4 linked regions of the Drosophila melanogaster genome follow. Changing the gene in region 1 together with any one later gene gives a genetic interaction. Each region holds a gene or a part of one and is shown in the gene's direction. Other genes may lie near its edges.

Region 1 (7,771 bases):
CTGAATCATTTGAAACAAAAAAAAAATGTAATCTTTTTTTCATGCAGACAATGACCCAAAGTATGAGCGCTTAGTCAACGCTATTCTGGATTTTTTGCCAAAGATTGAGGAAAATCTTATTTGTTCAAAGTATACGGACCTGCTTAGGATTGCCCTGATGGCCGAGGATGAGGCGATTTTTGAAGAAGCCCATAAACAAGTGCAGCGCTTTGACGATCGGGTTTGGTTTACTAACCAGTAAGTACTTACCAGCTATTGACTAATCAAACAAACAGAGCTGTCATTTTTAGTAATAATGAAATGTATATATATTAAAGTTACTTTATTATTATTATTTCACTTTTTCCTTTTATCAGCGGTCGTTTCCACCAGCACCGTCAGATTATAAACCTGGGTGATAATGAGGGGCGCCATGCTGTCTACCTTCACAACGACTTTTGCTTGATAGCGCTGGCCAGCGGGCAGATCCTGCTAACCGATGTTTCGCTGGAGGGAGAGGACACCTATTTGCTAAGGGACGAGAGCGACAGCAGTGACATTCTGCGTATGGCGGTATTTAACCAACAGAAGCACTTGATCACCTTGCACTGCAACGGCAGCGTAAAACTTTGGTCCCTGTGGCCCGATTGTCCAGGAAGGCGCCACAGTGGTGGTAGCAAGCAGCAGCTAGTCAATAGCGTGGTTAAACGCTTTATAGGGAGCTATGCAAATCTGAAAATTGTTGCTTTCTATTTAAATGAAGACGCCGGATTGCCAGAGGCCAACATCCAACTGCATGTGGCATTCATCAATGGTGATGTGAGTATTTTGAATTGGGACGAACAAGATCAGGAGTTCAAACTGTCGCACGTGCCTGTTTTGAAAACGATGCAGTCGGGAATACGGTGTTTCGTTCAGGTTTTAAAGCGATATTACGTGGTCTGCACCTCAAATTGCACACTTACTGTATGGGATTTGACCAACGGTTCCAGCAATACGCTGGAACTACATGTTTTTAATGTCGAAAACGACACGCCGTTGGCCTTAGATGTATTTGACGAAAGGAGTAAGACCGCCACCGTGTTGCTGATTTTTAAGTACAGCGTATGGCGGCTCAATTTTTTGCCAGGTCTTTCGGTTAGTTTGCAATCGGAGGCAGTGCAACTGCCAGAAGGAAGTTTCATCACCTGCGGAAAGCGTTCGACTGACGGACGTTACCTACTGCTGGGCACGTCCGAGGGACTTATTGTGTATGATCTGAAAATCTCTGATCCCGTGCTACGCAGCAATGTCAGCGAACATATAGAGTGTGTGGATATATACGAGCTGTTTGATCCTGTCTATAAGTACATTGTTTTGTGCGGCGCTAAGGGAAAACAGGTGGTCCATGTGCACACATTGCGCTCTGTAAGCGGCTCGAATTCACATCAAAACAGGGAAATCGCCTGGGTTCACAGTGCAGATGAGATAAGCGTGATGACAAAGGCTTGCTTGGAGCCTAATGTCTATCTGCGTTCTCTGATGGACATGACCAGAGAGCGGACGCAACTTCTGGCTGTGGACTCCAAGGAGCGCATTCACCTAATTAAACCGGCCATTTCTAGAATTTCCGAATGGTCCACAATCACACCCACTCATGCTGCCAGTAACTGTAAGATAAATGCCATATCCGCCTTTAACGACGAACAGATTTTCGTTGGCTATGTGGACGGAGTGATAATAGATGTTATTCATGATACAGCGCTACCTCAGCAGTTTATAGAGGAGCCCATTGATTACCTCAAACAGGTCAGTCCCAACATTCTGGTGGCGTCGGCACACAGTGCCCAGAAGACTGTGATATTCCAGCTGGAAAAGATAGATCCGCTGCAACCCAATGACCAGTGGCCATTGATGATGGATGTTAGTACCAAGTACGCGTCCTTGCAGGAAGGACAGTATATCATTTTGTTTTCCGACCACGGAGTCTGTGTGAGTGTTCTTAATTGAAGTTTATGCGAGTAAAAGTGCAGTATTTGATTTCAATATTTACCAACAGCATCTGGATATAGCTAACCCATCTGCATTCGTGAAACCAAAGGATTCGGAGGAATACATTGTCGGCTTTGATCTAAAGAACAGTCTTCTCTTTCTGGCCTACGAAAACAACATCATCGATGTGGGTTTGCTAAACATAATATCATTAAACAATTATCAATTATTTCCAACGACAGGTATTCCGTTTAATATTCAGCTGTAACCAACTAAGGTACGAACAGATTTGCGAAGAAGAGATCGCCCAGAAGGCCAAGATCAGCTATTTGGTAGCCACGGATGATGGTACCATGTTGGCTATGGGTTTCGAAAATGGCACTTTAGAGGTATACATACGTCTTACAAATTCGTTTCATAATTATTTCCTGCTAATTATACATTTCCCAACAGCTCTTTGCCGTTGAAAACAGAAAAGTTCAACTGATCTACAGCATTGAAGAGGTCCACGAGCACTGCATCCGGCAATTGCTATTCTCGCCATGTAAGTTGCTCCTGATCAGCTGCGCGGAGCAGCTGTGCTTCTGGAATGTGACGCACATGCGCAACAATCAATTGGAGCGCGAGCAAAAACGGCGGCGCAGTCGACGCCATAAGCAGCACAGTGTTACACAAGAGGATGCTGTGGATGCGGCGCCCATTGCAGCGGACATCGATGTAGATGTGACATTCGTTGCCGACGAGTTTCATCCGGTGAACCGAGGGACTGCGGAACTGTGGCGGAATAAGCGCGGCAATGCCATCCGTCCGGAACTCCTGGCCTGCGTTAAATTTGTGGGAAATGAAGCTCGTCAGTTCTTCACAGACGCCCACTTCTCCCACTTTTATGCCATAGATGACGAGGGTGTCTACTACCATCTGCAGTTGCTGGAGTTAAGCAGACTTCAACCTCCACCTGACCCAGTTACGTTGGATATTGCCAATCAGTATGAAGACTTAAAAAATCTTCGAATTCTCGACAGCCCACTTATGCAGGATTCGGATAGCGAGGGTGCTGATGTAGTTGGCAACCTGGTTCTGGAGAAGAACGGCGGAGTGGCGAGGGCGACACCAATTCTGGAGGAGGCCAGTTCATGACGCCAGAAGTGCGTCCCTAGGCGGCGCACGAAACAGGAAAGTCCAAACTACAACATGGCATTTATAGGATTACTGCTCTACTACCTGATGGTTTTGCTCTTCTACCTCCTGGGTCCGGATTTGTCCTAGGCAAACATTAGTTGTTGGCGCTTACATTTGCGAATGTATGCAGCTAACCAAGTATGATATCTCAGAGGGCGGTGGGTGCGTTGCCCTGCCTTTGTTTGTCAACGCGAGTAACCGCCACCAAATAAACGACATTTCACGAAAAACACAGAACGCGGTTTTGTTGTCTGCTCTTTGTGCTGTCCGTATGTATGTATGCATGCATGTCTGTGTGGGTGGTTGTGCTGTGCGTTTGTTTTGATTTCTGCCAGGCACGCCAGATCAAGTGTTGCAAAAGCATTGGTCCCGGGACAGTGCTGCTAAGTTCGTGTATGGATATCAGTGTTGCGGTCCAATAAATAGGTACGTATCTGGATTGTGGCTCGTCTACTTCTAAGCTGACTTAAATTAATAAAAAGGCTTTGGCCTCAATGTTTGCATTTTGGTTTTATTAAAAAGTTCAAGTCAAGTTTGGGCTATAATTTTTATAAGCTAAGATTTACACACATTGCCTTAATGAACACACGTACGAAATATATTAAGAAGCATTTAAAACAATGAATAAAAACCAATAGCTAACTTGTATCATCGGCAAGGTACCTTGTTTGTACCAGTTTTAGGTACTGAATTCCGTACCGAACTAAAGCCCTTTTCAACACTGGCAGATATGCGCTCTTTCTCGTCATTTCATTCCAATTTTCAAGCTGAAAAGAAAAGAACGTCGTGTGCGTGTTGATGGCGCGATAAGTGAAAAAAATAAAAACATTTTTCGTGTCTTTATGGAATACAATACGAGTGCGTTTTAAGTAAGTGCGTGGCGAAAGTGGCGAAGCAGAGAAAGAATGATGCGCAACTCGCTACGCGTGAGCTCACTGCAGCAACAAAAGCAATAAATAAAAAAAGTGACTACATGCATTCCGCGCACCCACACACTGGCGTAAAATTCATACATATTTAAGTGCATTTGTGCACGCTCGTCAATGGCAAAATCGCGAGCTTGCAACTGCCAGGAAATATTGTACGCAAATTTGTCTAAAAATGATCTCTAACCCATCGCACGCAGACAGACGCAGCGCGCTTATAGGGGCATCGAATGTATGACGGCATATGTGTATTTATTTTCCACACTCGCCCATCGGTGGCAGTGAGTGTTAGTGAGCGACGCGCGTGTGTGAGTGCGTCGAGTGCTGAACTCTTGAACTGCAGTACATGGCTTTAATTCGATTTTAGGGATGTGCGGCTTGACGGAGCGGGAAGCGATCGAATTAATGAGTAAATGATAAACAACTGGACGCTTTCCGAGGCTTCGAATCCCTTGTTTTTCTCTAACAAGTGGCTTGCGGCAGCCATATTGTTTTGCCTTTGCGTTTGCGGCGATGATCGCACTCGCACCCCCACACACACTCAGTCAGTCAGTCAGTCCAGTTTGTGTGTATACATATTTATTCAATTAAATATTTGCGTTTAATTAAAAAGGAGTGAAACTGCAAGAATTGATTTATTTAGGTAAACAAACAGTGAGATCAGTGCAAATTCAAAGAAAGAGAGGGAGTCTTTGTTTTTCTTTTTGGGTTTTCGTCACGCTAATTGAACACAAGCGATTAATTGAACAATCAGCTGTTCTAATGGAAAATACGCAAATCTGGAAAGGATCGCTGGAATTTTCCTGCTTGTGTGTCCGCTCTGACCCATTAGTATAGCATTAGTATTTCAATTTTTCGGCCAAAAACTTGTTTTCCCCCAACCCCAAGTCGTCATCCATTAAATGTTTCGTGAAAACTAGTCAGCAAAAAGCACAACAATAAAACCAGCAACAACTGCTGCCTGCGAGTGACAGAGAAAGCAAGAGATTACGAGAGAGAGTGAGAGAGAACGAGCGCGGCGAGAGAGCCATAGGCATTGGAATATGTATGGCTTGCGCGTGAGTGTGTGGGTGTGCTGTTCAGTTATCTGTGTTGGAATAAAAACAATGAAATTGCAAGGAGATTGCTGCCTGCATTTGAACCCTCTCCGATCCGCCCCATCCCCCATAACCCTTCACCACCCACTCAAAAAAAAAAAAAAAAAATGCAAACAAATATTTTAATGTACATGCATTAATGCCCGAAATGTCTTCAAACGAATTTTGTGTGCCCACAGGTTTAAGTGAAAAGTAGCAGTGCAAAATATATATACACATATCAAAACCCATTGGAATAGTGCAACCAAAAAATCATAAAACAGAACTAAAGCAACGAAAATCGAGGCAATTAAATCACTTCTGGATTCATTTCGGCCCGTTTTTACTAGCTAATTTAAAAATAGCTGCCGAAAGCATTCCGCAACCACTTCTGGTGACTGGCCCCACACCAATGCGAACAATACTCCACGGGATCCTCCGACTTCGAGTGGCTTACGCATGCCTTTGAATTTGCATCTTCGCACCCGCACAGCAGCCAGCAAAAGCCATCGCAGGAAACCCTATGGATGACCCATCAATCAAAAAACGGTGAGTTCAACTGCTCCACTGTCTCCATGCGCTACAATTTCCCCACTTTCCACTTTCCCACTGGTTAAATTGCTCGCATTGCGATAAGAATTTATCTTTTGTCCTCGACAGACTTAATAATTGTTATTTTCGTTCTTATTCGCAAGCAACAGTCGATTATACACATACTAATAAATATACCAAATATACATCATAGAGGCAGGTTTAATGCAAATTTCAAAGGCAGTGTCAACTGGTTGTGGGAATTGAATAATTTTAATGAAATCTCGAAGAAGAAGAAGATATTAGTCACACAAAAAGTTAAAGCTCTTATTATATCAAATCGGAAGAATTTTTACTCATAAAAGAAGCTTTCACACATTCTTGACCTAAGTGCTTATATTAACATATTAGGGCTACCCTTAAGAACTAGCAACTTATGTAAGATCGTTGCCTAAATAGTGTAGCAGCCTTTAAGAATCCTCGAAATTATATTAAAATAATAGGTATTTTACTACATTTTAAATAGTTCTTAAGCCAGTTACAGATGATTTAACTGTGCATTAGATCACCGATCAACTTTTGTAAGCAATTACTAATTCATTTGACCCGTGATTAGTCAGCAAACGTTGTTTGAAAATAGCCAATTGACGAGGTGAAACTTTGCGCCGTCTCACAGTTCTGAAACGCACTGTGTTTGCTGATTGTTTATACCAATAGTTCCCCCAAGCTTGGGGTTGTTTTTGTGCGGTTTCGACTGCCAAACGGATGACTTAATACATATATACGCTCACCAACTTAGGGAGCGGCCAGTTTTCACATTTTACCATTTATTTCTTTTATTGCCACCTAGGGAAGTTTTAGCCCAAATAGATTGGCGAAACCAGTGACTTTCTAAGCATGCTTGTGTGTGCATTTGGTGGTGGTGTCTTAACCACGAATTGTATAATATACCTATGCAAAATGATTTAAATCTATTAACAGCTCACCACCACTGGTGTTGTCGTCTGATTTGTGGGCCTTAACAGGTTTTATGCCAGCCCGTCAACGGGCTGCAGCAAGATTTCCTCAAAATTAGGCAGCTAAATTTAGACAGAAAGAGAATTCACTTGGATCAAACGGAGAGACATGCTATTGACATGGGCCAATCAGTCAAAAAAGTTAATGTAAACATTTGATTTTTGGAGGTCTTGCCTGCCCGCCCGGCTGTTATGGAAATAACTCATCATAATGATGAATTCACCAGGCGGGAAATGAGCTTTTATTATATTCCGGTATATGAACGGGTCCGAAGGTGGTACACACTGTATACTGGGACATACATATGTACATATGTATGTTTATCCATTCCATTCACATGCAAAATGATCAAATAAACGGCAATTAAAGTGTATCTATTCTTCTGGCTGATTTAATTTTAGCTCAATTAAAAGAGACCCACCAGCGACGACAAATCGCTTGGCTTTGGCTTTGGCCGTGACTTTCGTTACATGTTTGTCGCATTCACAGCGAGGTCTTGATTAGCCACTAATCTAGCTATCTGCTCTTTAAAACCCAGCATACCACATGGGAATCGTTGGCGAAGAGCAGAAGCAGTTCCGCCATGAAATTATTCAGCATTGATTACCTCTCATAGATGATTGAGCTGGCAATCCGCTGGTTCTATTCAATGCCTGAAGTCTAGTATTTTAAAGGGTATACAAACTAACTAGCTAATCAACCATCATGGTTTAGTAAAGGAACAATAAAAATGAATTAATTGTAACCACAGAGACGGTAGTCACCAAATCAGTGTGTATAAAAAGGCGATAAAAGGTTTTACAAGATTAGTAAAATGGTATTGGTGACAACTAATCTGAGTAAATGAAGATAAAGATTTGATAGATAACGACGGATAGAAAATTAGTCACTCAAAGCGAAGACTTTAAAACAATGAAATATCCACAGCGCTATTTCATATTGAAAAAATTGTTGCTTTTCTGCTGCCAGATATCAAGATGGAGTTCATATTATGCGGGCAGGGTTTTAATTACACTTGAGCTTACTGAATTAATAATAATTATTATTATAATAATGAATAAATAAGAGTTTTGAATAAACTAAATGTATATT
Region 2 (7,908 bases), on another chromosome or scaffold:
GGTCACGCACCCGGTCATGATGATACACCATGTCTTCATCGGAACATTTGGATTGCTGGTGGTGACGGTAAGCCGCCCAACTTGGCACATGCAACAACAAGATATGTATAGTTAATAATTGTAATATTCCGATTGCAGTACATTCGCGGTGGCGGTCACTGCATCTACAGCTACATGTTCATGATGGAGTTCTCCACGCCGTTCGTCTCGTTGCGCAGCATCCTGAGCACCATGCGCCTCAAGGATTCACGTGTGTACATCGCCAACGGTCTGCTGATGCTGGCCACCTTCTTCGTGTGCCGCGTCTGCATGTGGCCATACGTGATGTGGCGCTACAGCCTGGCCATTGAGGCTGCATCCCTGTGGTCGGCCATGTGGGGCCTGCCGCGAGGATGCCTCATCAGCATCGCTATACTGTTCTTGCCACAGCTCTACTGGTTCTATCTGATGGTTTTGGGTGCTCTCAAGGTGTGTGCCAGCTGAGATCGTATACATTGTATTGTGTCTTGCTCACATGCATGTGTCTCTTTCATTTTCAGGTCTTTCTACCGCAAAAGAGACGGCCGCCCAACGCAGTTCTATCGGCAAAGTCGGCGGCCGTGCCCACACCAACCCCCACCGCCCTTATAAATGGCAAAAATTAGTGCAAATTGTATTTATTTTGAGGCAGAGTTCCAGCCGCATCCGTTTTGCGGAGATCTTGCTATTGTTTATACATTTTTAATTATACAACAAGAACGACCCACTACTAACCGGAAAACTGAAAACCGGAAACAGAAAACCATGACGGACGGAGGATGAAAAAGGCAGCGGAAACGATGGCGACCTACAAATGAACCGAAGACCATGGACAGACCCTTAGTGTTAAATAAAGACATTATTTACTAAAAAAAAAACAAAAAAAAGAACGATAAAGATGAAAGTGAAGAACTAAGAACAAGAACAAAACTAAAACCAAATGCAGATAAAGCGAATAAACTATGTTGCTTATTTTTTGAAGCAAGCCCCTAACCATTAACGAATTAATGTTGCATTCAATTTCCGCTATATCCACGAAATCGATGTTGTTAACCGCCCCGAAAAATTGTCGAGGGGAATGAATGCTTGTGTTAATACCATAACCTGTTAGTAATATATATATTGCAAATGCAAATGCGGAAGAAGGATAACTGAGCATAGCATATGAAAGCCAAAAGAAATTGGCCAGATGCACAGCTAGGAATGTTCGATGTGCATATATTAATATACATATACATATATATATATATATTAATATTGTGAAAGTCACCAAGGATATATATATAGATACCAGATAACCGGGGACCGTAGATCATTTTTCGGCCATCTATGTAGAGAATATGGTCAAGTGGAAAACGATGTATATATATTTTCTGAATTGCATATCACGATATTTTACAAGACACAAGAATATTAGTAATCAGAATTTTAATTGTGCTACATTAGTATCTTCTTTATCTTATCGTTTAAATTCAAATGCTGTAAACTTGTTTGATATATTTCGATATGCTCATTTTGCGAAGCTTCTGATGTTCAGACAATTTGATATTGATTTGTTTTACTAGATTATCTTTATTAGGTTATCAAAGAAATGAAAAAAAAAACACATTTGTTACATTTTCCACCTACGAGTATAATATATATGTATATTGGCCTACTTTGTGCGCTTTAGCCTAACTTGCTTAGTTCATTACATTATACCATTGAAAACTCTTCCAAAATAAACAAATAGCACAATCCAGACTTATAAGCATTACGGTCCCTGAAATAGAAGTCCTATATTGGTTGCTTTTAAACGAACTACCTATGTACGCTGGACATTGGTGTATATGTTTATTTGTGAACTGTATGTGAAACTAGCACAAAATCAAATTTTAATTGAGCTTACAAGAATATAATTATATATGTAGTTAACTATTTATATGTAACAATGTGGCGCAACATCGCTTTGGCTTATTGCCAAGTCAATGAAAAACGCAGAACGGCAGCTCCTATGTGTTTTGTTTAAGACCGGTCCCGGATTGGATGCTTAGTTATGCGTAGATGTATGCGAAACCCATGTATTTTGAACTGTACAAATGGATTTAGCCGTGTGCATAGAGTAGATGAAAAGTGTATTTTTGAGAGGTCAGGCTGCCCTATGGCCACCGAACGAATGGACGAAATAAAGTTGCTACAGTTCCACAGTACATCAGTGGTCTGTTTTTGTTGTTTTACTCTGCTTGTTACAAGGTGGCCCGCTTGCTGTTGGGCAGAGCATCGCCCTCGTCATCGCTGCGATCCGCACGTCGCCGCTTCTTTTGGTGCTCCTCGACCAGCTCCGAGGTGCGAATCTTGTTGCCCGTCATCTGCAGCCATTCGATGTACTGAAATTATGTGATTAATATAACACTCCGTGCCCACTTGACTGGTAGTACAGCCACCCACCTGACTGTTGGTGCGCACTCCAGCCTCGTGCAGCTTGGCCTCGATGTTATCCAGTCGATGCTCCGCCTTGGCTGCCTGTCCGTCGCTCTTCGAGATGTCCAGGAGATGACGTACCCTCTGGCGCAGCGTTTCGAAGATGATGCGGCCGATGACATGGTTGCGATCGTAGGGCGTCAGATAGCGACCGAACTCGTAGAAGTACGGGTGCAGGCGTCCCAGCTCGATGTGCGTGGTCTCCGCCTCGCAGACGGCCTTATGCACATTGCGATAGATATCTGGCACGGCGACGGTGAAGTAGGCATTGTTTACCTTCAGCTCCTTGATGTACCACAACGGCAGATTGACCGTCCTGCCGGGCTCCAGGTCATCCGATTCCGCGCCGGAGTCCAGGAATCCTGCAAGCAACTCAATATTGTCGGATTACTGGCCAGAATGTGCGTGTCCGTCCAAGCCAATCACTTACCCATCCGCTGCAGCTTGGTGTTCACCCGACATTCCACCTTCTCCTGGGTCACGAATATGTCCTCGATGGAGTAATAGTTCGGAAAATAGTTCATTCCGTTCATTGCGCGGCCCAGCTTTATGATTCGTTTGGTGTTTACTTTAGGTAAATTCAATTTCTTAAGTGCGCGACCTATCGCCTATCGATATTAGATGCATTTTGCCGGGGTCTATCGAGGCAGAAACAGCTGTTTGCCTGGATGCCGAGGCACTCGATAGGTTTTATGTACTATATATATCGAAGCATTTATATGTATTATATGTAAATAGTTTTTCCGGAAAATTACTCTTATTTCAGCGCGAATTTTAAATTGCAGCCTGCACTTGACATTTTTTTATACATAAAATTACTAGTCAGGGTATAATTACTCAAAGTTGTAAATGATGTGGAACATGTGAACTCAGCTTAGTAATAGTAATTCGATACGATTGCAATTAGATGGTTACTTCTTCCGCAAGTTCTTAGGCTTATCTGCATCTTTCAAAAACAAATAAAAATAAAGGTTTCGTTCCCGGCAATGACTATTTTGACTTCAATTTCGAACAATTGATCTTAATCTAGCCGTATGATCATCAAGTCGTCGATAAAGTCGCCCATATTAAAAATCATCAATCCACTTGAGATCAAAAATAGCAAAGCCGCGTGCTTCGAGTTTTTCTTGTTGGCGACGAGGAACGGACAGATGGTCGAAAGAGCCATTTCGATTTAGCTATGTGTGTGCAAGGATTAGAGAAATGTGTGTGTAGTTAATATCAGTTAATAACGAAATCATAGGGAGCACACAACTTGTTCGGTCGAGATTTGAGTTCACAGTAAGAAGTTTGAAGGCACGAGCGTTGAAGTGCGAAAAAGGACTTTGACAGTTAACTCCCGCGTTGCTGAGCACTGGCTGGCTTCGTTGCCCATCGGACTATCGATAAAGTCGAACTGTAAAGCCGCCGCCACCAAAAACTTTTTCAGCCTTCCGGCAAACGGTCATACTCAGCTAGCTGTCCGACGAGTTTTGTTATTGGCGGAGAAAAGATTACGCTGGTTTATAAATTCTCAGTTAAGCCGATTTCTCAGCTCCTCTCCCCCTGCAGAGATCTAACACATCTATATAGATATATATATTTTATATATTCCTTGATCGATTTGCGATCCCGAAAGTCGATCAGCCGTGCGTCTATATATTTTTTTTTCTGTTCTTGCCCCTCGTGCAACATCAGTGAACATCAGCGGCCCACCGTACAAAATCTCAATAAGAAAAAAAGAGAGCATAAAGTGAAATTGCCTTTTGCGGCAAGTAAGAAAACGACCAAAAAAGAGAAAAGAATATAACGACTATTTGAATTAAACAAAGTTTATTGTTTACAATAGCATACAATACAAGTTTATAAGCTAACGGGCGTCGCTGTGCGTGTGTGTGTGCTTGTGTGTGCGTGCGTGTAGTTGTTGCGCCAAAAATTCCAATCGGAATTCTGGAACAGCTGGCCACAACAACAAAACGCGGCCAATAGAAGAACAATTTAGCTGCTGAAAAATGGGCGACTTCGATCTGAATGTGGACAGCTTGATACAGCGGCTGCTGGAGAGTAAGTAGATGCGAAATTTCCCCCTCTTTCAATCCTACTTTCCCAAAACCTCCCCCCCAAACCCTCTACGCCCCTCCCACGCCACTGTCCCCATTTTAATTTATTACACAGTTTATCTGCGTGTGTGTGTGTGTGCGATTGCATTTTCTAATTATTGCACATTGTTCGCTTAAATGGTAGTAGGTTTTCTTTTTGTTGTTGCGACAGCCCCTCTCTCTACCGCCGCCGCCGCCACCGCTGCTGCCGCTGCAACCGTTTGAATTTGACTCTTGAATCAATTAGTTTTAATTGATTTTCATTGCTCCTCTTGAAAAACAGCAAAAACCATAAAAACAACAACAACAACAGCGACAGCATCTACGCTACGCTCATTAGCGTTTACATAATACTAACAGTGATCGCGCTGTTAAGCACGCCATCTCTGTCCTGCGCTAATGTCTCCCAAATGATTTTTGGTTTATTAGCTGTGTTTTTTCTTGTTTCGCCTATATTGGCAATGACGTCATCGAGCTGATAAACACGGGCGTGATTCAAACAGAATGTGTAGCTATGAAATCGCCGACGAAGGAATGGAACGGAATCACATGAGTTACTCGATAAGGAGCTTTGTCGCAAGTAACCCCACTGCCCGTTGGAGTGGGATCGCTGTTCGTGTCACGCAACTATCGCTAAAGACGGTTGAGAAATCTACGACCGATATATCCTATATTTCCTAGCCCCCAAGAAGATATTTTTATCCAGCGATCAATATCAATATAATTTTTACTGGGTATCGACCGCTATAGCCGATATCCACTGTATGTGGCTTAGAATGGGTGGTGGGGGCTGTGTCATCGTCGTCATCATGCAACCTTCCTGCAAAGCGTAAAAGCGCTAAATAGTTTACATTTTTGCAACCTCTTCTAGGTTTCGAATGCGATATGCCTTTGCCCTGGTGAAAACCCAACATCTGCGAGGGTTGCTTAAGCCGCTTAGTGCTTGTCTCGTTTTGCAAGTGTCAGCCAATGTCGAAGATACGGCATGGGACGGGATGGGCTTTTCCGCTTTTCCGGGGGGCGGGCCGCCGCCACCATTTGGCTTTAGCTCTGACCGACGCCACGGGGAAATTGCATTTGAACATTGCGATTTTCGGTTTTTGTCCATTTCCGCAATGAGTTTCGCTTTTCTTCCTCCGATTCTGTCTTTCGGTTTCACTTATTTCTTGCGCTGATATGACACGACCCAACTACAGTGGTCATTCGACGGAAGAACACAGCGGAAAAGGAAAACGGAGAAGAATCTTTTCAGATATCGGTTATGTTTCTACGTTATGAAGTATGTAAATATATCATAGAAAGTATATTTCCTTACTTACCGTGTTAGCTACCGAGTGATCACTGTAAACCACTCTCAGCTGCCAAAGCAGATGGGCGATGGGCAAAAGGGGCAGATTGAGCGAGATGGTCGAGGTAGGCCACAACCATTTGTCAAGGTCATCGAGTGGGCTAGGTCATGGCACTACGCCCACCACCCCATCCCCCGAAAAATGCCATTAATTTTGATCTATGAAGCGTCGTCAGCCTCTGTCACCGGCAGCAAAAAAAAAAAAAGAAAATAAAATGGCAAAAGCAGCGGCGGCGGCAGATAAATTTCATTTGTCAAATTGCAAATTGAAATTGAATTTTTAGGGCACTTAGCCGGGCTGTCGTGTTTTCTGGCTCTCGCTTTTCCGAGAAATATGGAAATTTCGCCCTCCTTTTGTGTTCTTTTATGCTTTTTTCCCGCAAGCCCACTCCACCTATCCCACACCCCTTAGTTTTAATAGATCTCTCTCTCTATATATATATATATATGTGTACGTATATATGAATATATATGTATATGTGCATCCATTCGAAAGACTTTAAAAAACAAAAAGAGGCCGAAGAGCACGCCCAGAAGCTGCTAATCGCTCAACAATTGGCCGCCGCCGGCGGAGCATCCGGCGCATCTGCCACATCGCCCACATCCAGCAGCAATTACTCGTCGATGGCGGCGGTGGCCTCCTTTGGATCCGGATACGGATCGGGATCTGGTGCTGGTGCTCCTGGTGCCGGCGCTGGCCCAGGATCCAGCCATGATCCGCTCGACGATCTCACCGAACAGCAGCGCCGTCTGCTCCAGCAATACTCGATATCGCCGCCCAGCGAGACGATGATATCGGCCGATGGCGACCAGATCACCGTCCATCATCCGCGCGAGGAGCCCAAGAAATCCAGATTGAAACTGCGCGATTTTTTCGTCGCCGAGTTTGGTATTACCACTTTCAATCTAAGAACAACCTCCCCTATTGATCACTTTGTCGATGTTTGATGATCATCCATAAGTCCAGTGCAAAAGTAAAAGCCATACTGCAGTGGTCACCATGACCATGAGACTTCATACTCTAAGTAGCGTGCTGTCCTCTATAACCCCCCACCCACCCACGTCACCAGACCCCTGGCGCTTGTTCTCCTCCGTACAGCCAAGCCAATCCAATCCGAAAGCAATCCAATCCCATTCAGCTCTGTTCCAATCAAATGCAACCCACACTTATCACTTTAGGGCCAGCTCACTCGCTTGTCACACGGCTAAAAGCTTGGGAAGCACAAAGGGATTGCAATACCGAACTAATACATATCTCCACTCAATCAGCACTATGTATATCCCTGGGTACACTCAGCAAAACAATATAAACTGCCACTGCCACTGCCTCCATAACTAGGCATTCACGAATGTATGAACGCTATTGATAAGACATTGATAAGCTCATTCTCAGACAGTTCGAATGAATCTTTAACTCATTCTGCGAAAGTTTAAACTATTTTTAATCAAGTAATCCGGTTTTTATGTGGCGGTATAACTTACCCAACTAATTTTGTTTATTTGCCAATGTAATTGCAATATGTTTGATTGGGGTTTGCAATCGATAGCTCAAACAATATTAACTGGAATCCCATCTGCACTTCACTAGAATAGCTATAAGTAGAAACAATTACATCTGTTTTGGGACAGAAGAGTTTCATAATATTTATGATTTGGTGTGGGGCTACCGTTTACTTTTCCGGAACTGCAATCGCGATGTCAGTGCCAACGCTTGACCAACGCCTGCCCCGATTAGGTACATATAAATATATGGTACTTTACAGATGTGTATCTCTATATCTATGTATGTGTCCGTGTGTTATGCAATCACTCCGGCCAATCCCCCCCACCCCGTAAAAGCCACAACCCGCATCGCATCGCCTTCATCTAATTGTTTTCACACAGCGCAAAATCCACTATCGTCAAATGTAATGCGAAACAAATTAAATGTATAAAAATCCGAGAAGAATGCGGCAGCAAGGGGTTGCCATTTCTATGCACTGGGATTGGGATTGGGATTCGGAT
Region 3 (7,896 bases), on another chromosome or scaffold:
ACGGTTCGGATCAGGAGGATGGCATTGGTCTTGTGGATCACGAGCCCAAGATGCGTCAAGTGGAGGACGATGAGCTGGGCGACGGGCTGAAAGTCACTCTGTCCTCGGACGGCTCGCTGGACACCAACGACTCGTTTAATTCGCACCGACATCATCCGTTGAACCACCAGGATGCGATTGGTGGCTTCCTGGGCATGGACACCAGTGGATTGGGTGGCAATAGTGCACCTGTGACCATTGGAGCCAGCACAGATCTGCTGGCACCCAATACAGCTGCCACGCGACGTCGTCGCAAGTTGCCGGAAATACCGAAAAACAAGAAATGTAAGTTTATTGAAAACTTAGTTCCTGGCTAGAGTATCCTGCATGCAAGTAGTTTCAGGGGCTATGCCGGTTTTCAAAACTAGTATTTGGTTTTCCACAACACATCTATTCGTCATATCCTATTTTGGGAGCCGGATAGTCCTTCTTAACATCCCTTCGTAGTTTCGGGCTAACCCACTCATGGCCTCGTTGCAGCTTCCATTCTGCATCTTCTAGGTGGCTCCAACTTTGGCTCCCTGGCGGATGAGTTCCGCAACGGTGGTGGTGGAGGAATCCCTCCAGCAGTTCGCAGTGGACAACAGCGCTCATTTCTGTCCCTCAAATGCGGCTACTTGATGGACGAGGACTCCAGTCCGGATTCGGAAAGGATGCAGAGTCTGGGCGACGTGGACAGTGGTCACAGCACGGCGCATTCGCCCAACGACTTTAAGAGCATGTCGCCGCAGATCACGTCTCCCGTTTCGCAGTCCCCCTTTCCGCCTCCCTTTGGGGGCGTGCCCTTTGGCCAGCTGGAGATGCTGGAGGCCACTCACCGTGGTCTGCACAAGTTTGTGCCGCGGCACCACGACGAGATCGAGCTGGAGATCGGCGACGCCATCTACGTGCAAAAGGAGGCCGAGGACCTGTGGTGCGAGGGTGTGAATCTCCGCACCGGAAGGCAGGGCATCTTCCCCTCGGCCTACGCCGTGGACCTGGACTACAACGAGTTCGATCCCACAGTGCAGCTGGTGAAGAAGGAGCGCTATCTGCTGGGCTACCTCGGATCCGTGGAGACGCTGGCGCACAAGGGCACCGGAGTCGTTTGCCAGGCGGTGCGCAAGATTGTCGGGGAGTACGGCAACTCACCGACCGGACAGACGTGCATCCTGGAGGTTTCCGACCAGGGACTTCGCATGGTGGATCGATCGGGCCCGAATGTGAGTAGGATACATACATATATACATCTTCATTAATAACCGATATAAAAACCGATTTCGTGAAACAGCAAAACAAAAAGGACAAGAAACCTTGCATCGACTACTTCTACTCCCTGAAGAACGTCTCCTTCTGCGCATTTCACCCTCGCGATCACCGCTTCATTGGCTTCATCACCAAACATCCCACGGTTCAGCGGTTCGCCTGCCACGTCTTCAAGGGCTCGGAGTCGACCAGACCGGTGGCCGAGGCAGTGGGGTGAGTCCTCAAGCAGTCATCCCCCCAAAACAAACGCTCGAATAACATGTTAACACTCCTTCTTTCAGCCGTGCTTTCCAGCGATTCTATCAGAAATTCATTGAAACCGCTTATCCCATCGAGGACATCTACATTGAGTAGGCTTGCAAGGCGGTTTGTGCATTAATCAATACGATATATTTTTTGTGCGGTTATTACGAATAAAAGCAAAGATAAGTCTCAAGAATATTTGCTCTTCTTCAAAGAGAATCTCAAAGCAAAATCAATAAGCTCGCAATAGAAACCCTAGCTATAGATTATTATCATTTATCCGTTTTGAACAAATGTGCAAGATCTTAGACATGTAAATAGTTAGTTAACTTTCGTTCAAAATCCCCACTTCACACTCACACTCACACTGAGCTTCAAGCAATCAGCAATAGTTGCCCCCTCTATAGGAACCGCCTTTAAACTCGAGTTCACTGGATATATGGACAGAAGCAAAAGAACACCTTGAACACCTTGAATTTTGTATCGGGAGTCAGTTGGGTCAGTTGGGTCTATTGTAAATCGGAGATAAGCAATTTGGATTGGTTATAGATATCCAGACCCTCCTGTAACCACATCCTTAACCTGGCAATGCACAAAATAGAGTGAGGCCAAAGTAATTTAGCGATCTTCGTGTAACCTTAGTTTAGTTATGCCAATCTTTCAGTTACCAGAGACTCAACAATATCGAACACCAGCTGCTACGTTTTGAAGTATTCTCAATTAAAGCCCAGTATAAGATGTGTAAACCTTTAAAGTTGTGTACACGCAGGCGAATATATACTGTATATGTATACAAAAGAAATATATAAAGAACCTATAAATCAAACTATATTGGATTATTGGGTGCTCAAGGAAGAAAGGTGAGTTTTATTAGTAAGAGAATGTAAGCCCTTTCATCTTATATTGTAGAACTTACCCAAAAGTATGCACTTAAGCTCAATTTATAGCAAGTTGATAGAATCCCGAAATGATGGTAGATAATATTTAGCAGCCTAAAAGATAACTTATAATTTGTAAAGTAAATTATTTTACACATAAAACATGTGAGTTTATCTCTCGCGGGAAATGAATTGGTGATTTGCATAAAATTACACGACAAGACAAGATAATACTAATCGGCTATATGAAGGCAATGGCCAATTGCAGTTTAGTTTTAAGATTAACTTGTGATGACTTGTTTTGAGCGGGCCATGGAATGGAATGATGGCCCAGAAGTTCCCATTCGGATTCCACATTAGTTTTATTTCACCGCACATTTACCAATGCGGATCTACGCCGGAAAAAGAAACAATCGCACATTAATGAAAACGCCCAGGGAGTGGAGAATAAATGGCCGAGCCATTAAAATGGCGATACATCAGTTAGCCTGGGGGCATCAATCATTATGCAATTTTCGCGAAGCCGGCCAGCAGCTTTGGGCCACTTTCTTCGGAGGTGGTTCAGTGAACGGGTTGTGGCGGTGGGCCTGGTCGGATCTGCCTTTGGGCAAAGTGCTCTAACAGGAGCAGCGACTAAGACTAACTAGTTCGTGTCGCTTTTAATGGAAATGGATACCCGAAGTAGCCTTGGCAGCGACTTTGGCTGGGTTTCGGTGTGGGAACTGGTTTCGGGGTTGGGAAAATCGCGCGGCACTCGCTTGATGCACTTGTCGACGTGCCCGGCCTCTTAACTCTATCGCAAATGTGGCCAATTAGAGATTAAACGACAATTTCAATTTAAAAACGCTTGTAAAACAGACCAGCCGAAAAGCCAACCTGATTTTCCTGAGCTGCCAGTGGCGGCAATGGACTTGTCAAACCGATTCGATATCTAGAGGGGATTGCCGATGCGTTTTAGCAGTCTCTAAATCAGTCAGTAATAAAAAAAATTGAGCTTCTGATTATTCTAGTACATTTTTAAATTCTCTATATCGTAAATTATAAAAGTACTATGCTATGTTCCTACTATCTATCGAATACGCATGCTATTATTCATATATATATTTTTTTTAATACTTATTTAATTAGGACACTCCCTTTATTAATTTACCTTGTGCAAACTGACAGAACTTCATTGCATAGATAGCTTCTGAAGCCGAAGCTCTCGGATAGTGACATCTTATCCAAGGGCTACCGATTCTCGAAGTGCATGAATGGATAGAACCGAAGCTCGTGGAAATCCCCCAAACAAGTTCGCTATCTACGCGCCTGAAGAGCAGCAGCTCCATGTGGAAAGCCACTCCGACCAGCAGCGGCAGTCGAGCCATCTGATCGCGGACTTCATTCAGTCTGCAACTCGCGTTTCAGCCAAGCAGACGCGGCTTAGAGCACAGTTAAAGCCAGGCCAAAACCGAAACTATAGCCAAAAGCCAAACGCGAAGCTAAAGTCGACGAGCTGGCGAAGTGAAGATCGGTAGAGTGGAGTAAATCAAACCGAGGCAGCTAATAAAAAGTGCTAATGGTGTGTTTAAAATATGAATAAACCGAGTATGCCTGAGCCACAAAAACGGTTACAACAACAACCAATGCCACAACCACAACGGTAACAATAACAAAAAGAGATTTTCTTTTTCGTGGGACGAAGAAATCGCATTTGCATTTCACCGCGCTGTTTGGTAGATTAAATTGGATCAAATCGAATCGATGGAAGTTCGGTGTTTGTTTGTGTGCTCGTCGCGGCCAAAAGTGTTGCTACTTTCATAAAAAGGTTATAAGAATCTGGAATAGTGAATAAATAAATGCAAATATTGGAGACCCGTTAAGCAGAGCCGCGGAAGAACGAACAATAGGATTTTGAGGGAGAGTCACCCGGCGTGAGTGGGTAAGTCAGTCAGTCTGTCTGTCTGTCCAAGTTCTGTGCGTCCATCTATCATGCCTTCACTACGATTTGTAACTGTCACAACAAACGGGTTGTTTTGGTTCAGCACTCCCGCCCGGCCAGTTGGGGAAATCCATAGGATCGTTTTACTGGCTGAATTCACCAATGCATTCGCTGTGTGCTCTGCATGGATCAAAGTTATTAAATAATTAATGACCAGCGGTGCAAAAAGAAAAACACAGATTGCTGCATGTTTGGGGCATTATTTACGGCCTGCTTAGCTAGACGTCCGTATCGCAGCTCTCATTAGGCCAAGCATGAAGCTCCAGAACACCCATCCCAGCCTCCCATCGCAGGTGCTATCCGGCCAGCTGGCTATACAGATCATTTAGCCATCGATTTGCATCTCGAAGAAAGCGGCTCGGTGGCTCTAATTTTTGGCAATTACATAAACCCCATGCCCTCGAGGGCCTGTTCCACAAATGATGCGGCTCCAACGAGCCATGAGCCACACTTTGGTAATCTGAGAAAACCAGACAGAAACCGAAACCATTTTCTCGAAGACGTTTATTTTTGGCAGGAACAAATGAGCAGATGAAGATCAATCTCTGCCCAACTGATCGGTCGCCACGGGTCTGTCCACACGGATCACTCTTTCGGCCACGTTCAGATAGGCCTCGTACTCCACAATGTCCGGCGTGGTGTCGTAGTGATAGTGGCCTCCCCAGTTTGCAAAGGAAAACGAGTGGAAGTGCTGCAGGCGGAGGTCCAGTCCCATGTCCTTGGTCACCAAGGTGCCCACTGCGTTTAGCTGGGCGGGCATTTCGTAGAACTTCAACCAGTTTTGGATCTGTTCCTGTGTGTGGATGGGCGTCTTGCTAAAATCTCGCATTACGTGCTGGTGGACACATCCCCTCCTGACCACGAACATTCCTCCCAAGCCCACCACCTGGTCTCCGTAGTGCCGTTCCAGACCCTTGCGAATGCATTCTACAAAGTTTTCCCCTCCAGTGCGCTGTTTTGCGGAAATTCGGAGCACTTGACCTGGTTTTCCCTCGCTGAGGAAGAGGTTCAGGATCAGAGCAGCACGAGATTCGGTTTCGGGAATCCTTTCGAGAACACAATCCTCATTCGCTCCCCTCACAGTGGCCGTGTAGCTTCCTTGAGTGAGTTCATCCTCTTCGTTTAGCGAGAAATTAAAGATCCCCTCGCAATTGGAGTGACGAATGGGCCACGGACCTGCTCCCGGTCCAACTGCAAAGATCTTTCCTGCTCCTTGGGTCCGCCGAGTGATCTCCTTCAGATTGTAGAGCTTATCTCGCTGCACCAAGGGCCGCAAATAGGGTGGCCCTCCTGCTTCTAGGAGAGTGGCCTTTCCGCCCAGTCCACGCTCCACAAGGCCAAACTGGGAGTCCCTTAAATCCGGGCAAGCTTCCACACTGACATCTACGGTCCGAAAGTTCTCATCCAGAGCACCCTGTATGACTGGAGAGCAGGTGGAAAGCTTTATTTGACGTATCCGCTAGATGAGAACTATTTTTATCAGCTATTCCACGCGGGAGTGCTCACCTCTTTTCAGTTCCGAGAGGGGCGGCACATGGAGTGGCCTCTCCTCAAAGAGCAACTGCTCCGTTTGAAGGTGACTCCCGTTCATGGTATCTCTGCAAATATTTCGGTACGGGTTCAGGGCCTTTCCTTGCTGGAGGTAAACTAGCGACTGACCGAAGCACCATCGTTTGGTAAAAATGTCTGTCATTCGAACGCCTGTCATGATAATGTTCTACTGATACAGGGCTTCCAATTTATAAAAGTATGTGGTTTTCTGGTTTGAGTTTCTATTAAATATACTATTTATAATGACCTGTTTTCAAAATAACAAAGTACTAACCTAGAGAAGTAATTTTAGATTTTGTAAATTTGGTTGGCCAGCTAGCTGATAAGCTATTTTAGTATTTGTTAAGCCTGACAGGGATTTGAGCAGATAAAAAGACTGTTTCTGTTTTCGAGCTTATGTTTTGTTTATTTACTATTATTTATTGGGGGTTGGGGCAATGGAAAAGTCGGCTACAACTAGATACGGCAGATAAGATCTAGTCGCGTCCCACTTTGTGAGTGGCCACGGGCTTATCCACCCGCACCACCCGTTCGGCTACGTTCAGGTAGGCCTCGTACTCAACGATATCCGGCGTGGTGTCGTAATGGTAGTGACCGCCCCAGTTGCTGAAGGAGAAGGAGTGGAAGTGCTGCAGGCGAAGGTCCAGGTCGTGCTCCTTGGTCACCAGCGTGCCCACGGCGTTCAGCTGGGCGGGCATCTCGTAGAACTTGAGCCACTCGTTCACCTCCTCGTCGCTGTTGATGGGCGTCTTGCTGAAGTCCCGCATCACGTGCTGGTGGGCAGCGCCCTTCTTGATCAGAAAAATGCCACCCAGACCCACCACCTTGTCCCCGTAGTGGTTCTCCAGGCCCTTGCGGATGCACTCGATGAAGTTCTGTTCGCCAGTGCGCTGCTTGGCGGTGATTTTCAACACCTGACCAGGCTTGCCCTGGCTGAGGAAGAGGTTGAGAAGCAGGGCGCACCTGGGCTCTGTGTGGGGTATCTTCTCCAGGACGCACTCCTCCTGCTCTCCCCTCACAGTGGCCGTGTAGCTGCCGTTCGTGAGCTCATCCTTCTCGTTCACGGACAAGTTGAAGATGCCCTCGCAGTTGGATCCCCGGATGGGCCAAGGTCCCGCTCCGGCGCCCACGGCGAACACCGTGCCGGGGCCCTGGATCTTTCGCGTGATCTCGGCGATGTTGTACAGCTTATCTCGCTGCACGAGGGGCAGCAGAAAGGGTGGGCCTCCCGCCTCCAGCAGCGTGGGCTTGCCGCCCAGTCCACTCTCCACCAGGCCGAACTGCTTGGCCTTCAGATCCGGACAAGGGCCCACACTGACATTCACATTGGCGAAGTTGGCCGCCAGGGCACCCTGTATAACTGTGAGAGAGGTAGGGTAACCATTAGAGCTTTATCTCGACCTCCATCTAGACGAGATATGGCAAAAGCTGAGCAAAAGCTCCACCGCCAATCATATGTTTCTGTTTCTGTTTGAGATTTGCTCAATGAAAACAGCAAACAAAAAACACAGAACGTAGAACCCACCGAAAACCGGCTGTGGAAAGTTCGGCACCGTTCTGCTGAAGGTCATTTGCACATGGCACGTATTGTTATCTGCGGGATCGCTGGGAAATCCAACTCGACTCACCGTTCTGCAACTCTGACAATGGGGGCACGTACAGCGGCTTCTCCTCGAAGAGCAGTTGCTCCGTACTCAGTTGGTTCTGGCTCATTTTGGTTGGAGATGTGTCCTAGTTACTTTGCTCCTTATTGCGATTCTGGCCTCGTTCCGATTCAGGTTTGGATTCCTTTCTCTAGCCCACCAAGTATTCTAGTCGCGCTGAGGCTACCTACCGCTCGCTAGATCGTTGCAAACACGACTGTCTGCTGAAACCAGATGGGGTCTCGTTTTTTAAAGTTGAGTGCTCGGCTCCCGGTTTGCCCTATAGTTAACATTGCTGGTACGGCCGGTCGGCACA
Region 4 (7,450 bases), on another chromosome or scaffold:
CGATAGCTTACAGTTGCCCATCGCTAGCCATGCCTGTGCGTCTATCGCCAGGTGATGCGTTAACGCTTGCGTATTTTGTTGATATTTGCAAGCCACGCGAGAAGAGATGCTGCGCCTACTCGTGTCCAATTGCGGCAGGAGCAGCGACATATTTAGGTAGAGTAGGGGTCACCATCGCGGGCGAGGTTCTGGGCCGCCGACGCACGAGGATCTGCTACGGCCAGCAGTGAATTGGGGAAACAACGACTCCCCCTCGCCCTCACTCCGGTTATGTCATCAATCAGCCAACCTATTATTAACCGCCTATTTCGCTTTGTTTAGTCGCCACCTGCTGCAGCCCACGCAGCAGCCACTGCCACGCCTCCAGAATGCCGCCCGCCTGATGCGCCAACATTTGCGTGGAACGAACGCTCCCCAACCGCCCGCGATACCGCCCACAAATGCCAGCCGCCTGCTGCAGACGACACGCCTGCTTGTGTGGGGCGGTGGTAGTTTAGCTATCGGTCTGGGCGCCCGTTCCTGGTGGGCGGGGCATCGCGGAGCGATCGTTCATTGCGAAGGCAGCCGGCTGGCCATTCGAAAGGAGGAGGAGGAGGAGGACACTGCGTCGGAGCAGCACTTCGACTGGAAGCGTTTGTGGACCTACTTGGAGCCACATCTCTGGGAGCTGATCGGGGCCGTATGCGTGAGTTCTTGGATCACAAAAAGCCCACGAACAGGTGTAGCATTTGTCAAAATATTTAGCTAATTTCATTTGCAGGCCGCCCTGATAGTGGCTTATATCAACATACGCATCCCAAATCTTCTCGGTGACCTGGTAAACACACTGGCCAGATATGCCAACACGTACGTGATGGATCCGATTAACAACTCGTTCGTAAAGGACGTGAGCAAACCGGCCAGCAATCTGCTGAGCCTATACATGCTGCAATCTGGTTTCACCTTTATGTACATCTACCTGTTGAGCCGCGTCGGTGAGCAGATGGCAGCCAAGATGCGGCAGGATCTGTTCACGCAGATTGTCGTCCAGGACATCGCATTCTTCGATGAGAATCGAACGGGCGAGCTGGTCAATCGACTAACCGCCGATGTACAGGACTTCAAGACCTCGTTCAAGCAGTTCGTCTCCCAGGGACTGCGAAGTGCTGCCCAGCTGATTGGCGGCAGTATATCGCTCTTCATGATTTCACCGCACATGGCCGCCATTGCGCTGGCCAGCGTTCCGTGCGTGGTTATGTTCATGACGTATTTGGGCAAGAAACTGCGCTCTCTAAGCAAAAGCTCACAGGCGCAGGCGGAACGAGCGACGGGTGTCTGCGAGGAGGCGCTGTCCAACATCCGAACGGTTAGATCCAGTGCCTGTGAATACCGCGAGATGCAGCTGTTCGAGGCGGAGACCAATGAGGCGGCTCGCCTGGCGCAGAAACTCGGCTACGGCATCGCAATCTTCCAGGGCCTGACCAACTTCTTCCTCAATACACTAGTCCTATCTACGCTCTTTATGGGCGGCCACCTCATGTCTACGGAGAGTCTGTCGCCGGGTGCTCTGATGGCCTTCCTGGTCGCTTCGCAGGGTGTGCAGCGATCCCTTGCCCAGGGATCCATCCTGCTGGGCACCATGATCAGAGGCATGTCGGCCGGCAGTCGAGTCTTCGAGTTCCTATCGCTGCAGCCACAGGTGGAATTGCTGCGCGGCTACATCATCCCGCAGGAGCGGCTGCACGGCGAGATTCGATTCGAGAACGTCTCATTCGCATATCCCATGCAACCCGATCATGTGAGTTGTATTAAAGTATATCTTCATTTCATTCTCGAGACAATGATGGCATATTTACATTAATCGATGCTCTGTAATTTGTAAACTCGCCACTTTTTTATATAATATTGAATAACTTCTTATCGCTTCCGCAAGTAGATAACCATTTTATAATACCCACAAACATTTATGGCCAATATTTACGGCTAAGTGATAAAAAGATTAGAGTCTAGGCAATGCAAACAGTAATGAACTTCCTATGTCAATTTTTGCTTCATTCACAGCTGGTGCTCAAGGACTTTAGCCTGACGCTCCGCCCGGGCCAGACGGTGGCCCTGGTGGGAGCCAGTGGATCGGGCAAGTCGACGATAGCGTCGCTGGTGGAACGCTTCTACGAACCATCGGCGGGCAATATCAAACTGGACGGCTACAAGCTGTCGGACATATCGCCCTATTGGCTGCGGTCCAATGTCCTCGGTTTCATCGAACAGCAGCCGGTGCTGTTTGGCACATCGATATTGGAGAACATCCGATATGGTAAACCAGATGCGGGCGAGGAGGATGTGTATGCGGCAGCGCGTCTATCACAATCGCACGACTTTGTGACCGCCCTGCCCGATGGATATGCGACGCATGTGGGCGAACGGGGCACCCAGTTGAGCGGCGGTCAGCGGCAACGCATCGCCATTGCACGGGCGCTGCTCAAGAATCCGCGCATCCTCATCCTCGACGAGGCGACGAGTGCCTTGGACGCCACCAGCGAGGCGGAAGTGCAGAAGGCACTCGATACAGTGGTCCAGAATCGCACCACTCTGGTGATTGCCCATCGCTTGTCCACGATACGAAACGCTGACCTCATTGTCGTCCTTGATCAGGGACGCGTCGTGGAGGTGAGTTGTCCTAGACCATTGGTATCTTCAGAAATATTTATATTTTCCCTTGTTTTAGACCGGCAAACATGACGAACTGATGGGCAAGCGGGGCCTGTACTTTGAGCTGGTGCGTCAGCAGGAACGACGGGACATCCAGGAGCAAGTCCAGGCGGTGGAGGACGTTGTGGCCGTCAAGGAGCAGCAGGCAACTGCAACAGAAACTTCAACAGCCGCAACAATTGCAACTGCCGCAGAAACTTCCGCAGCAACAGTGACAGTGGGGAGCAGCAGCTTCGGTGGCAGGGCAAACGCAGCGCAAGGATAGTGACGATGTTAGGCAAATTGAATGATTCCCTATACACTTAATTTAATATTCTTATAATGTTTTCACTTTTTTTTTTGTTTTCAACTGACCAAAAACAAAAATGGTGAGAGACGCTAACAATAAGTATACAATAAAATAAACGCTGAAGACAGTATTGTTTTTGTTATAAACAGAAAGTATTTCATTGTCATTATCGCTAAATTCACCGGGTTCATTAAAAATAGATGGGATGCGTGAACTTAAATTAAAGTTTGAAAAACTGAATATAAAACACTTGAAATCCCAATTTCCGTTAAATAATATATTCAATGGGACCGCATTATTTCTACAACCATACTCATATACGGTCACTCGAAGATTAAAGAAAAACTATTTCAATATTCAATTCTGTTCAATATTTCTTGTTAGTGACAAGCAGCGTGTTTATAATAAAAAATTTGTTCATTAAAGAGTTTATATATTTTTTAAGTTGATTGGCAGCTAGACGATAGTTTTGAGATTCTTTAATGACAGTCCTACGGTCACACTGGCTGAATTGTATTTTATTTTGTGTAGTTTTGTTGTTGTTTTGTTTATTATGCATTTCTTTTTTATTGTTTGAGTTAGCGAGCTGTGCGTCGCGTCGGCATTTAAACAAAATCCGCGGCATTTCGGTAGTTGCGATTAATAATTGCTTGGCGGGAATTACAGTCGAATAAGAAATTGGCGAGGAAAAACCAACAAATGTGCAATGTGCGTCAAGTCAATAGCAATACAAACGAACAATTATGTAAGTGTGTGTGTGTGTTTGGTTTAGTTTAGTGTACAAGTCCAGCAAAAAACAATAAAATCTAAGTAAAAAACCAGTTGTTGTTGCTATTGGCTTTGCTAATGTCGTGTTGTTCCCGTTCCCCCACACACATTTTCTAACAGCGCGTGCATGTGTGTGTGTGTGTGTGTGTGTGCAGCACCTGTACGCGTGTGTGTGTGTGCTTCTGCCTCCGCACAGTGGACACATTCCTGAATTTTGGAGTCCAAAAATATGCAAATTGCCTGAGTGAATTAATTGACTTAATTAACAAAAATTGGACCGCAAGTTATGATAACCATAGTTGATTAAACGGAATTAGTTTCTAGCGGGACTAGTGCGACAAATACTCAAACTTACTTGATTTTTTACCATTCGTTCCATTCGTAAACCTAGCTTGTCTTGGCTATTTTATAGACTTCAGTCAGGGTGGCACACCCACTCATTTCCAATCTCTTCAAAGCAAAATCACAGCACTGTGATATGGTTGGTTAAAGTAAAAGTTCAATGGGTTAAGCAGGTGATTAAAGGCACATTAACCCCTAATGGAGCTTGGACTGCACTTAACGCACGGCTCACATGTGACCACTGTGCGCGCGTGCAAGTGTGTGCGTGTGCATTCGTCATTCATTGGTCATGTTTATGCGGTCGGAAGAGGGACGTGCACAACAACTACAGTTAGCTCAGCTGAAGTGCAATTGCGATTGCAGTTGATCCAAAGAGTCGCGTTTGTTGTTGCATCAACCGGAGTTTTCACGGTCAATGTTGAGCTATATCCATAAATACACAAACATTCATGTGTATTTGCATATACATATGTATGTCCATATGCATATATCCATGGATTATGCATGCAAATCGATGATGGAAATCAGGCGGTATAGCGAATTCCGATGGGGGGCAGCTGACTCAGGATCGAAGTCTTTATCACTGAACCCTAAACTAATGACTACCGGACTCAATTATTTTGTTTTGTTCGGTCATTTTGTTTAGTACGCAAAAATATTTACATGGCTATCGCTTTAGCAATAAAGTTCGAATTGCTGTCCCAGTATATCATAAAAAATCACGGAGAGTTTTGAATGCAATTGGTTTTGAAAAATGCCAAACCTTCCTATCATTAACACTTAAATCAGTTAGAAAAACTAATATAATACTATATTAGTTGATAATAAATGCATTTCATGTATGATATCATTGTAGATATCTTTTTTCTCAACGTTAATGATAATGGGTAAAGATAGCTTATTTATAGACCTACATTGCCTATATGATATTTGCTTAGTTTCCACTGGTTCATATCGACCTGTTGACGATAATTGGCCAAGTTCCGTGACTGCTGGTCTATATTTACTATATTTAATACCTATTCCGTCATCGACTAATACCTTTTTTTTAACCTCCCGCCCCCCTGCTCTTTACCCACAGTGCTAACGTGATCGGGCCAAGGCACAAAAACATTCCATGCATCATCAGCAGCGCCTGCGGGCAAATGGCGGACGAGGAGGCACTGGATTGGGCGCAGGATCAGGACCTGTGTCCGGAGGACACTCACCATTGTGCGCCCATTGTCGGGGTCAACTACTGCCACATCCAGAGGAGCCAATCGTGATGGCTCTCGGCCAGCAATGGCACTGCGATTGCTTTCGCTGCTCCGTTTGCGAGGGCCATCTGCATAACTGGTACTTCGAACGGGAGGGCTTACTGTACTGTCGTGAGGATTACTACGGCCGATTCGGCGATGCCTGTCAGCAGTGTATGGCCGTTATCACCGGACCCGTAATGGTCGCCGGCGAGCACAAATTCCATCCGGAGTGCTTCTGCTGCACGGCATGCGGCTCCTTCATCGGCGAGGGCGAATCGTACGCCCTTGTCGAGCGTTCGAAGCTCTATTGTGGCCAGTGCTATGGCAAACGTTCCTGCCAGCCGGCGGATGCGAAGGCGCGGATCACAACGGCCGGCAAGCCGATGCACTCCATCCGTCTGGTCGAGATACCCAAGGACGCCACGCCCGGCCTGAGGGTCGACGGAGTGGCCCTCGACGATGGTTGTCCCACGGTCCGCATTACAGAGTAAGAAATTAACTGAAATTACTATAATTTACATCAATGAACTCATTGAGATGCATGCATTTGCATTATTTATTAACTTTATTGTTACATTTGTTTCTTGTTGTTTTTTTTAAGATCTTTTTCAAAGATCAGATTGTACTCTTTTTTGAACTTCTAAGTTGCCTTTGCGTTTAATGTACATATGTTATACAAACCAAGCCGTCTTCTCACTTTTTACACACAAGTCACAACATTTTTTTTATATGAATTTAAAGAAGAATGTCTTTTTGGTTACATTTTGTACTGAAAAAAATTTTACCATGGCTCAAATCTACGAAGTACGTATTGTGAAATGATAACTATTATTTGATTGTATATAATTTATTGCTTCAATCTGACTCACTTTTGGTTGCCATTTGTTAAAGTTTGCACATTAGCTAACTAGGTCTAGTCCTAATTGCCAACTAATTTCGCTGGGCGTTCGTCCTTCGACTCTTTCTGCATTTCCCTAATACATGCTTGCCCAAAAAAAAAAAATAGCTTGTTCTGTAACTTCTTCTTGTGGCTAACCTCGATGGCGGAACAGTGCTGTGGGGCGCCTTATAGGTAACAAATGTGCCTGAGTTGAATTAAAAGCAACAACTAAGCTAGTAGTAACACTTTGCTAATTATTGATTTATTTCCTATTATCCAGAATTGATGTGAATCTTACAAATCTGCATATTGGAGATAGGATATTGGAGGTGAACGGCACACCAGTTAGTGATTCGTCCGTGGAACAGATCGACAAATTGATACGGAGTAATGAGAAGATGCTTCAGCTGACCGTGGAGCATGATCCGGTGCAAGTGTGCCGCTCCTGCAGCCAAGCGGACATCCAGCGGGCCATGTCAGCGTCCACGTTAATCCTGCCGCTCAGCACATCGGCCTCCAGTGTCGAGGTGGGCAGGGAGCGTCTGTACAAGACACCCGGCGAACAGGGCACGAAGGCCAGGAAACTGCGACAAGCCACCAATGCCTCTACGACAATACCACCGGCAGCTGGAGCCACCGCAATGACGCAACTAAAGGAGAAGGAGCGTTGTTCCAGTCTGTCCAAGTTGCTGGATGAACAGCATCAGGCACAACAGCATTCGGCGCATCCTCAGCTCTATGATCTGTCCAGGACGCAATCCTGCCGTGTCGTCCAAAAGCCACAACGAATCTTTCGTGCAACTGATCTGGTTATAGGAGAGAAGCTAGGCGAGGGCTTCTTTGGCAAGGTTTTCAAGGTGACCCACCGTCAGAGCGGCGAGGTGATGGTCCTCAAAGAACTGCATCGTGCGGATGAGGAAGCGCAAAGGAATTTCATCAAGGAAGTGGCCGTTCTCCGTTTGCTGGACCATCGGCATGTGCTCAAATTCATTGGTGTTCTGTACAAGGATAAGAAACTGCACATGGTCACGGAGTACGTGGCCGGTGGTTGTCTCAAGGAGCTGATCCACGATCCAGCCCAAGTACTCCCTTGGCCCCAGCGCGTCCGCTTGGCCAGGGATATTGCGTGCGGCATGAGCTATCTGCACTCGATGAACATCATCCATCGCGATTTGAACTCAATGAATTGCCTGGTCCGTGAAGATCGCTCGGTCATAGTGGCGGATTTTGGACTAGCTCGCAGTG

Evidence for each region.
Region 2: of RhoGEF2 (region 1) and flw, changing one suppresses a phenotype caused by changing the other (phenotypic suppression), as found in Drosophila melanogaster (2 studies listed by BioGRID).
Region 3: of RhoGEF2 (region 1) and mwh, changing one suppresses a phenotype caused by changing the other (phenotypic suppression), as found in Drosophila melanogaster (one study listed by BioGRID).
Region 4: of RhoGEF2 (region 1) and LIMK1, changing one suppresses a phenotype caused by changing the other (phenotypic suppression), as found in Drosophila melanogaster (2 studies listed by BioGRID).

What each region holds. Positions count from the first base shown.
Region 1 is NT_033778.4:17,023,342-17,031,112, forward strand, and holds the start of RhoGEF2 (Rho guanine nucleotide exchange factor 2), read left to right. Parts: upstream 1-3,848; 5' UTR 3,849-3,998; intron 3,999-5,331; 5' UTR 5,332-5,654; coding exon 5,655-5,680; intron 5,681-7,771. Other genes in the region: Dark (Death-associated APAF1-related killer), read left to right, coding at 48-237, 357-1,950, 2,018-2,137, 2,193-2,339, 2,404-3,087.
Region 2 is NC_004354.4:10,382,043-10,389,950, forward strand, and holds the start of flw (flapwing), read left to right. Parts: upstream 1-3,917; 5' UTR 3,918-4,469; coding exon 4,470-4,521; intron 4,522-6,400; coding exon 6,401-6,793; intron 6,794-7,908. Other genes in the region: CG17841 (uncharacterized protein), read left to right, coding at 1-67, 139-468, 540-644; Psf3 (partner of Sld five 3), read right to left, coding at 2,244-2,384, 2,446-2,840, 2,909-3,011. UniProt on the Drosophila melanogaster protein: Required for cell adhesion in non-muscle tissues and in maintenance of muscle attachment. Vital for larval development.
Region 3 is NT_037436.4:1,196,990-1,204,885, forward strand, and holds the start of mwh (multiple wing hairs), read left to right. Parts: upstream 1-3,796; 5' UTR 3,797-4,326; intron 4,327-4,881; exon of another isoform or gene 4,882-4,924; coding exon of another isoform or gene 4,925-5,808; intron 5,809-5,892; coding exon of another isoform or gene 5,893-5,977; exon of another isoform or gene 5,978-6,047; intron 6,048-6,326; exon of another isoform or gene 6,327-6,413; coding exon of another isoform or gene 6,414-7,297; intron 7,298-7,565; coding exon of another isoform or gene 7,566-7,650; exon of another isoform or gene 7,651-7,806; intron 7,807-7,896. Other genes in the region: Aplip1 (APPL-interacting protein 1), read left to right, coding at 1-324, 520-1,241, 1,310-1,497, 1,566-1,638; meep, read right to left, coding at 4,925-5,808, 5,893-5,977; CG9119 (uncharacterized protein), read right to left, coding at 6,414-7,297, 7,566-7,650.
Region 4 is NC_004354.4:12,588,203-12,595,652, reverse strand, and holds the start of LIMK1 (LIM domain kinase 1), read left to right. Parts: upstream 1-3,459; 5' UTR 3,460-3,722; intron 3,723-5,168; 5' UTR 5,169-5,204; coding exon 5,205-5,812; intron 5,813-5,969; exon of another isoform or gene 5,970-6,070; coding exon of another isoform or gene 6,071-6,129; intron 6,130-6,304; exon of another isoform or gene 6,305-6,331; coding exon 6,332-6,397; intron 6,398-6,485; coding exon 6,486-7,450. Other genes in the region: CG1824 (uncharacterized protein), read left to right, coding at 107-156, 322-685, 761-1,777, 2,041-2,646, 2,705-2,953. UniProt on the Drosophila melanogaster protein: Protein kinase which regulates actin filament dynamics. Phosphorylates and inactivates the actin binding/depolymerizing factor tsr/cofilin, thereby stabilizing the actin cytoskeleton.